Linked DNA regions of Danio rerio. Each later gene encodes a partner of the first gene's protein in a complex. Links are inferred from orthologs where the notes say so. Each region holds a gene or a part of one and is shown in the gene's direction. Other genes may lie near its edges.

Region 1 (4,155 bases):
AGAGGGTTGGTAAGGGTCACCACAGACACTCAGGGATGGTGAGGTACACCAAAGACACAGAGGGTTGGAAAGGGTCACCAAAGACACTGTGGCTTGGTGAGGGCCACTACAGACACTGAGGGCTGGTGAGGGTCACCAAGAACAGACAGGGTTGGTGAGGGTCAGCAAAGACATTGCTGGTTGGTAAGGGTCACCAAAGACAGAGAGGGTTGGTGAGGGTTTCCAAAGACACTGGGGAATGGTGAGGGTCATCAAAGATGTTGTGGGTTAGTGAGGGTCACCAAAGACATTGCGGGCTGGTGAGGGTCACCAAAGACACTGAGGGATGGTTAGGGTCACTAAAGACGTTGGGGGTTGTTGAGGGATACCAATGACACTGTGGGTTGGTGAGGGTCACTGAAGACACAGAGGGTTGGTCAGGGGGACCAAGAACAGAGTTGGTGAGGGTCACCAAAGACACTGGGGAATGGTGAGGGTCATCAAAGATGTTGTGGGTTAGTGAGGGTCACCAAAGACATTGCGGGTTGGTGAGGGTCACCAAAGACACAGCACAACCCTCTGAGGGGCCACCAGAAGACAATGGGATTGGTGAGGGTGACCTAAGGGTGAGTGCTGCTGAGGATCACTGCAAGGTGCTTGATGTGACATACAGCTGAGTTTTTTATAAAGACAAAGACAAGGCAGATGCTGATTCTAACTGAAATAAAGATATCATCTTCAGACATCTTTAGTGTCTCCATTTTTGAGTCTGCATTAGTCTTTAGTTTTTAGCTCAAGCTTAAAGTTAACATTTATTGCAATTACAACCAATTGTTTTACAAAACAGTTAACATAAAACAACTTTATGACATAACCTTTATAAACCCAATAAGCATCTTACTGCCTTTACATTTTGTGAACCAAATATTACTTTTTGATATTTGGATGATTTTTTTCTACCCTTCATTAAAGATCTCGACTTTCCAATGGCATTGATGCACTGTAAACAACATGAGGCTATTAGTCTGTTTTTCAAATTACACACTAGCTCACTTTCCTTTGTCTTAATCCCTGCTTTATCAGGGGTCGCCATAGTGTTATGAACTGCCATTACTCTGGAAACACTCATGCATTCGTGTCACTCTATACCTAAATTGCAACTATTACCTCAAATATAGTGAGTAACAACTCAGTTATCACTCAGTTATCCACAGAAACTCAGTGTGGTTAAATGTGAATAACCCTAGACATGCACAATAATTACCGGGAGGGTATGTGTTCGGCTCACAACTTTTTTTTTGTCATGGCCACGCGATGTGAAATTGCACTCTCGAGATCCTATGATGAGGGAACGGTAGTCTCTCTGGGACATGTGGTGTTACTATGGTAACAGCCATAAACACTCATCAGCGCGAGGTGAGTGACAGAAAACTTGTTCGGACATCGGGATCATATAATCCATTTGTAATTTTTGAGTTATTAATGTTACAGGAAATGATCATAAATTGTTTAACGTTACAAGTAAAATAGTTATTTTCAGTGCATCCTGTCTGTTAAGTTACTAACAAGCAAGCTAAAGTTAGCCAGCATGCTAATGATGTAAATTGATCGATCTAAATTCCCAATCATTTATTTCAACCCGTGAAAAGTTGATCGACAAGGTAGTTAAGATAGAAGAATAATGTCAGACTCTGGTGAAGATGAGGTATTGAAAGCAGACTCTGATCATGAGGGAGAGAATGAGGATCTGGAAGAGAAAGAGAAATCAGATGGAGATCAGGTATAAAATGTGTTTTCTTTGGTCTTATTTTAGTCAGTGGTGGTAAGAGTACAAAAAAATTGTACTCAATTACAAGTACTGTTACATTGCTGAAATTGTACTCAATTACAAGTAAAAGTACTGGTGTTAAAAAGTACTCAAGTAAAAGTACAAATTACTCTTCGTAAAAACTACTCAAATTACAAAATTACAAATTACTTTTTTAGCTTGGCGATATTGGTGGAATTATCCATAAATGCGGAGTCAGACAAGATTCAGGCAGTAAAACACATTTTACATAACACATTTAAAGATACTATAAACACTTTTAAAACTGTGTAAACAGCATTAATTATAGATTATAATTATAGAGCACCTATAGAGGAAACCCACGCCAACATGGGGAGAACATGCAAACTCCACACAGAAACACCAACTCACTCAGCCAGGGCTTGAACCAACAAACTTTTTGCTTTGAGGCGATAGCAATACCCACTGCGCACCATGATTATTTTACAAAAACAATGTTTTGCTATTTTGAGTATAAAGATAACAGAAATATGCACAAATGCACGACTTTTAATCATTTCAAATGATGCCTTTCTATCTGTACGATCAATAGATGATTTAATAAATTAAAAAAACACTTGCAAATTATGGAGAAACTTTGTTAATTACCTAATTCGCGAACTGAACCGTCAGAAACCACAGAACAACACTGCCTAGTGCCTAAACATATTATTAATAAATTAAATATCACACAAATTAAGTTGTCTTCTTACCATAATGTTTTTTTTTCAGATTATAGACTGAAGTCTTGTAAAAAAAAAGGGTTTCTGCAGATATCATAATGTCAAATGTAAGACTTTTTAAGACTACGTCATATTTTTAATATTGTTCAAGATTTTAAAAATAATTATTTTTCATTATTTTATAATTTATTATGATTACAAAGTTGGGTAACGGGTGGGGCAGTGGGTAGCACTCTCGACTCAAGGCAAAAAGGTCGCTGGTTCAAGCCTTGGCAGGGTCAGTTGGCATTTCTGTGTGGAGTTTGCATGTTCTCCCCGTGTTGCGTGGGTTTGCTCAAGATGCTCCGGTTTTCCCCACAGTCTAAACACATGCATTTTAGGTGAATTACCTAAGCTAAATTGTCTGCTGTTGTAAATGAGAATGGGTTGCAGCTGGAAGGGCACAATTGCTGGATAAATTGGCGGTTCATTCCGCTGTGGCGACCCCAGATTAATAAAGGAACTAAGCCAAAAAGAAAATTAATGATTATAAAGTTTTATAACTATTCAAGATTTTTTAAATCAAAGTTTGATGCATCACTCACTTTTGTTTATATCTCGGACAGTTCTACCTATTAAAGTTAAATATCAATGACAACAGAACATGGGTTACTCTACAATTATTTTTTTTATTCTGGCAAGAATAACAGCAAAAAAACAAAAAACATTTTTTGCCCACTCAACAATTGACACATTATTGTCTGGCTAGTTTCTGTCCTCTACTAATGAGCTGAAAAGGCAATAATGGTCAAACAATCCTGTCCATCATCACCAATAAAGCCTAGAAATTGGGCATCAGTTTACTGTAAGTCGATGGGTTCATATTGTCCAGTTATTAAATACCTTATTTGTTACTTAATTTTTGTTACATTGCTTTAACTTCAAAATGATACATCAGTGTAAAACCTATAAATGGTGGAAAAACATATTCTGTAATCTTAAAACCACCTGGGTCTCCACTTTTGCCATGGCCTCTTTTTTGTTGTAACAAACTTATCCCCCAGGTTTTTCCAAACTTTAACAAAACACTTCCTTTCCATGGCTGTTGCAATTTCTAGCCAAGAATTATTGGTCATCTGGTTATCTCTATGCTGATCACGCATGGTCGGATAGTTAAGATGTCTGTACAGTCGTACTGTTACAGACAAAATCTCTTCAAAGCGATTCAAATTCAACTCAAATCAAGCGCGGCGCCGCGCGAACTGTTCACCGGAAATCATGTCGCGCGCATCCAAAGTGAACCTCACTTTGGACGTCACATTCGCCGCTCGCACTGAGCTATTGCATGCTGGTATTATTTGTAGTTTTAATACTGCAAATCACAATAGGACTAGTGAAATAAAGAACTACACCACCACGAAACCAAGCAACAACAAAAAAATTATTTAAATGAGAAGTAAGAGTAGCGTCTCACGCCTTCAAACGCCAGCGCGCGTTCACTGCGTGCAGGATTGCCTTCTGATGCGCAAGTCACTTAGTAAATGAAGATAATTTATTCATGCAGCTGCTCCTACTGATGCAAATTCTGTTTTTACTTTTGATATTTGTCGCCAGTTAATCAGAAGGTGGCAATTTTGTTCTCTTTGACTTGATGGACAGAAAAGCTGCTTTATTTGCTGTCTTTTA
Region 2 (4,175 bases), on another chromosome or scaffold:
AATATTTTGTGCGTAAATAAATATTCCATAGGGGTTCTAATAATTCAGGGGGGCTAATAATTCTGACTTCAACTCTATGCACAGTATAAATATGATCCATTCTTCAACTACGGGCACTTTTAGCCTTGTGAAGTTGAGTAAAAAAAAAACCTGTTCAAAATTAACGTAATAGCCTCAAAAGTTTAAACAATTTGTCTAGTTTTAAGATCTGTAAGAGTACAAAATTGGATAAGAAGAGAAACATTTTTCTCATCGTGAACTGAAAATGTCATTTCCACCACATCTTAGTATACAGCTTTTATTTCAAAATTTAATAAACTTTTCCACAATATGTATACAATGGGGTATATGCCAAAGCATGCAAATAGGACTTTTAATTTGCCAGTAACCTGGGTTAAGCGCTTCCGGCGAATTGAATGCCAATGCAAAATCCGTGCGTTTAAGGTATGTTTTCTTTAAAGATGAGCGATCTCCACTAGCTGAGTGATGTCCGATTTAAAGTGGGTCTCAGATTGTACAAGAAGCACTGCATTAAATTACATTTCCCCTGCCATGTCTTTATAATATGAGCATTTATTTTACCCCAGTATATTCAATGGAGCTTCTGTGTTAGCCTGCCGATTCTGACAGGCGCGTGCGAGTAAACAGCTTTTTGTCTCGTTTTACGCTTGAGCAACCAAATAAATGCTAACGTTTATTTAACTGAATGTATTTTAATGACATTACAACATCGATGCTGTATAAGGAACCGTATAAAATGGAAAAAAGTTCACAATAACAGGTCACCAGAAGTGTATCAGCATGGATACAGCACTAGCTCGGCTTATACCCTATTATACATTTGTTAATAAAATAAATTAGTTGTATGCTGAATTTTTCACCTGTCACCCTCTACAATTTAATATTATTTTGGTTAAGAGCTTATGAGAAAATAAAATAAACTGAATTTGTATAATAAATAAAGCATGAACTTATACATTGTGAATACACTTTTAATGTGTGAAGAGAGCTTTTTAAAAAAAATTAAAAATGAGAGTGGTGATGGAAATGACAGTGGTGGAAATGGCATTTCAACAGTTTATTGTGAAAAAATGAAAAATATCTTCACCGATTAGGTTTGAATTGATTCTAGCCTTTCATGTATACAAAACACTCTTATTTATCTTCATTTTGCTTGGTTTTTAAAAACAACTTTAAAGGGATCTCCACAGGATACGCAATGCTACAATAAATACGCAACCTTTTATAAGCGGAAACCTACATATATTCGGAGGACATGGCAACAACAGCTGTAGTTAACGCCCTTTATTTGACATTGACCAATCAGATCACAAAGAGCTCTTTCGGCGTCTAGGTGACGCTTCCAAACAACACGTTGCTATGAAAAACAGAACAAGTCGCTGCTGCATTTTAGGATGCCAAAAAACTATATATAATACTATTAATAGTATATTTTCTATAAAGTACTAACTATTATATTAATAAAACGACATAATCGCATCTCTTTATTTAAAATAACATAACGGTAAGTCTGGATAATAGATAGAGTTAACTTTAGCACGTACGTTTTTGTATAACGTTAATGTACTGTATGTAACGTATTTTCTTTAATCATGTTTTAGTGTTATGTGACATGAAATATGCTGATATGGCCTTTCCCGTTTTGCATGTATTGAATTCATGCTATTTCACTTTTTATATATATTGTAACATATATTGTATTAATATACTTTTTGTGTGTGCAGTTTCTCTTTCTTATCCTAAAACACAGCTCAAAGTGAAGTGATGCCTCTTTCAGAAACCATGTACTGCGCTCAGCAGATCAACATCCCTCCAGCTCTGCCCAATATGTTAAAGCAGTTCACTAAAGCAGCAATAAGGACACAGCCTCGTGATGTGCTGCAGTGGGCAGCTGAGTAAGCCAAACATTTTGTACTGTGTATTATGCATCCAAATTGCCATTATATGTAATATATGCTTTAAAACTGAATATAAACATGATAAATGACAAGAATTAAACTGTTTCTCCATCAGCTATTTTTCAGCATTATCCAAAGGTCAGGACCTGCCAGTCAAGAAGAGGCTGGAATTGCCAGTGGCGACTCAAAAGACAGACACAGGACTTACACCAGGCCTTCTGAAGATCCTTCATCAACAGGTGTGATCCACAGCACCGTCTTTCTATTTCATATCTGTGAATACTGATGAGATTTGTCTTGCCTGCAGCTTACATCTAAAGAAACAGTTACAAAAGATGAGCTTCTTCCCAAGTGGAAAGCCCTACACTTGCCTGTGGAACAGCTTGACACTATCCTCGCACTTGGAAACTTCAGCGAAAACATTAACTGGATGCAGTTTTTTGCTTTGGCATGCAGCGCTTTGGGTGGGGTAAGTACCTATAAAAAGCGTGCAAATTATACATTGACAATTGGGGGATGTATAATTGTCAATTTATATAAAATGTATAATCAACTTTTTTTGGTACCAGTTTGGTAATGCATGCTTCAGTCAATCAATTAATGTATTTAAATTACATCTCATTTATAAATGTATACGTTTTTAGTGTTTTTGGAACCTATTTTGGAAGTTACTATACAAATTATGTCTATTTTTTATTTATTTAGGCTACATGCAGATAAAAACACCTATTTTACAAGAAGCATTTTGTGAATACTTAAGATGTGCTTTGGTGCACTAGTACTGCCAGTTTTAGACTGTTAAATCATATTTTTTCTTTCTAATAGCATGAACCATTTAAGAATTAAACTAGAGATTAGAGAGAGCTATTTCTTACTAAGGGCTGAGGGCTGAACCCCCATACATCTTGTTTTGATGTCCTTCAAGGGGGGATCAAGTATTAATTTGGGGGTTCAATCCCCCTCATACAAATTAGGGATTATATTCAGTATTTTATTGTATTTTGTATTATTAAAATCTAGTGATAAAGTATAAAGAATTAAAATGACAGTTACTGAGAAATAACTATACATTGTAATGTTTTAATAAGAGTTTTTAATAAACCACATGTTTGTTTTTTGTACCGAAGTAACACAGTAAATAGACTATGTTATACTAAATGAGATTCAGTGGGTTCATTCTGTAAATCATGTATTATAGTTAGGGCTATGATTAAAACCTAGTGTTAAAGTATAAAAAATTAAAATGACAATTAATGAGCATTATAAGGATCAGATTGTAATTTTTTAAATAATTTATAAAATGACGATTAAATTTCTGTACCTGGATACTGTTATGGTTCCAGAAAACCATGAAGTACTGTTTATTTCACTTTAATCTTTGCGCTGTTGTATTTATGCTTGTAATTTATTATGATTTATGCAAATGCACTGCATATAAAAAATAAACTTGATCATTCCAATTTATCTAAATGAATGAATTCTTTTTAAATAGAGCTATTCAATTCATCTGGTGGTATATCGCAATATTTTAAGCAGAAAAAAAATATTGCAATGTCTGATTTTTCCAGTATCATGCAGTCCTAATTACACTCTCAGAAATAAAGGTACAGGAGCTGTCACTGAGACAGTACCTTTTCAAAAGATACATATTTGTACCCAAAGAGTGCACAGTGGCCAAATAAGTGGCCAAATGTTGCTAAAATGTACCTCTGGTGTACCATTATGAACCCTTCAGGTACAAATGTGTACCTTTTGAAAAGGTACTGCCCCAGTGACAGCTCCTGTACCTTTATTTCTGAGGGTGTATAGTCATTATTTTTTTCTCTCTCTCAAAAAATACAAATAAAAATAATATAATAAAAATAAAACTGTAAACATTCTAAAGTACACAAAGTTATAAATAAATATGAATACATTTGAAAAATAACAATGTTTTACACTTTAAGGAAAATGTTTCTTTGGTCCAAGAACTTTGTTTTCAATTCAATTCTATTAATTGACTCTAGATGGCAGTGTTGGATTTTTAAATGGCTTTAACTTTCACAGAGTTGAACGAGAAATATTGAGTGCAGTGATGGTCATAATTTAAAGTGTGCAAAGAAATGTCAAAAAGCCCACTATATTCAATTAAAATACAACTAAAATTAAAGTTAAATCACACTGAACTGAACGAAACTAAAAGTCAACTGGACTGGATTGGACTAAAACGGACTGACACATTACTAATTTACTAGAACTTCTATGTTAAACTCCTTT

Evidence for each region.
Region 2: lrrc23 (region 1) and ropn1l share a complex: the UniProt entries of both Homo sapiens proteins name them as parts of the axonemal radial spoke complex. The link is inferred for Danio rerio from reciprocal best matches to the Homo sapiens genes LRRC23 and ROPN1L.

What each region holds. Positions count from the first base shown.
Region 1 is NC_133198.1:23,038,167-23,042,321, reverse strand, and holds the start of lrrc23 (leucine-rich repeat-containing protein 23), read left to right. Parts: upstream 1-1,344; 5' UTR 1,345-1,660; coding exon 1,661-1,759; intron 1,760-4,155. UniProt on the Homo sapiens protein: Essential for sperm motility and male fertility. Plays an important role in the proper assembly of the third radial spoke (RS3) head and the bridge structure between RS2 and RS3 in the sperm flagella.
Region 2 is NC_133199.1:25,901,204-25,905,378, forward strand, and holds the start of ropn1l (ropporin-1-like protein), read left to right. Parts: upstream 1-1,372; 5' UTR 1,373-1,525; intron 1,526-1,745; 5' UTR 1,746-1,785; coding exon 1,786-1,916; intron 1,917-2,034; coding exon 2,035-2,158; intron 2,159-2,226; coding exon 2,227-2,388; intron 2,389-4,175. UniProt on the Homo sapiens protein: Functions as part of axonemal radial spoke complexes that play an important part in the motility of sperm and cilia. Important for male fertility.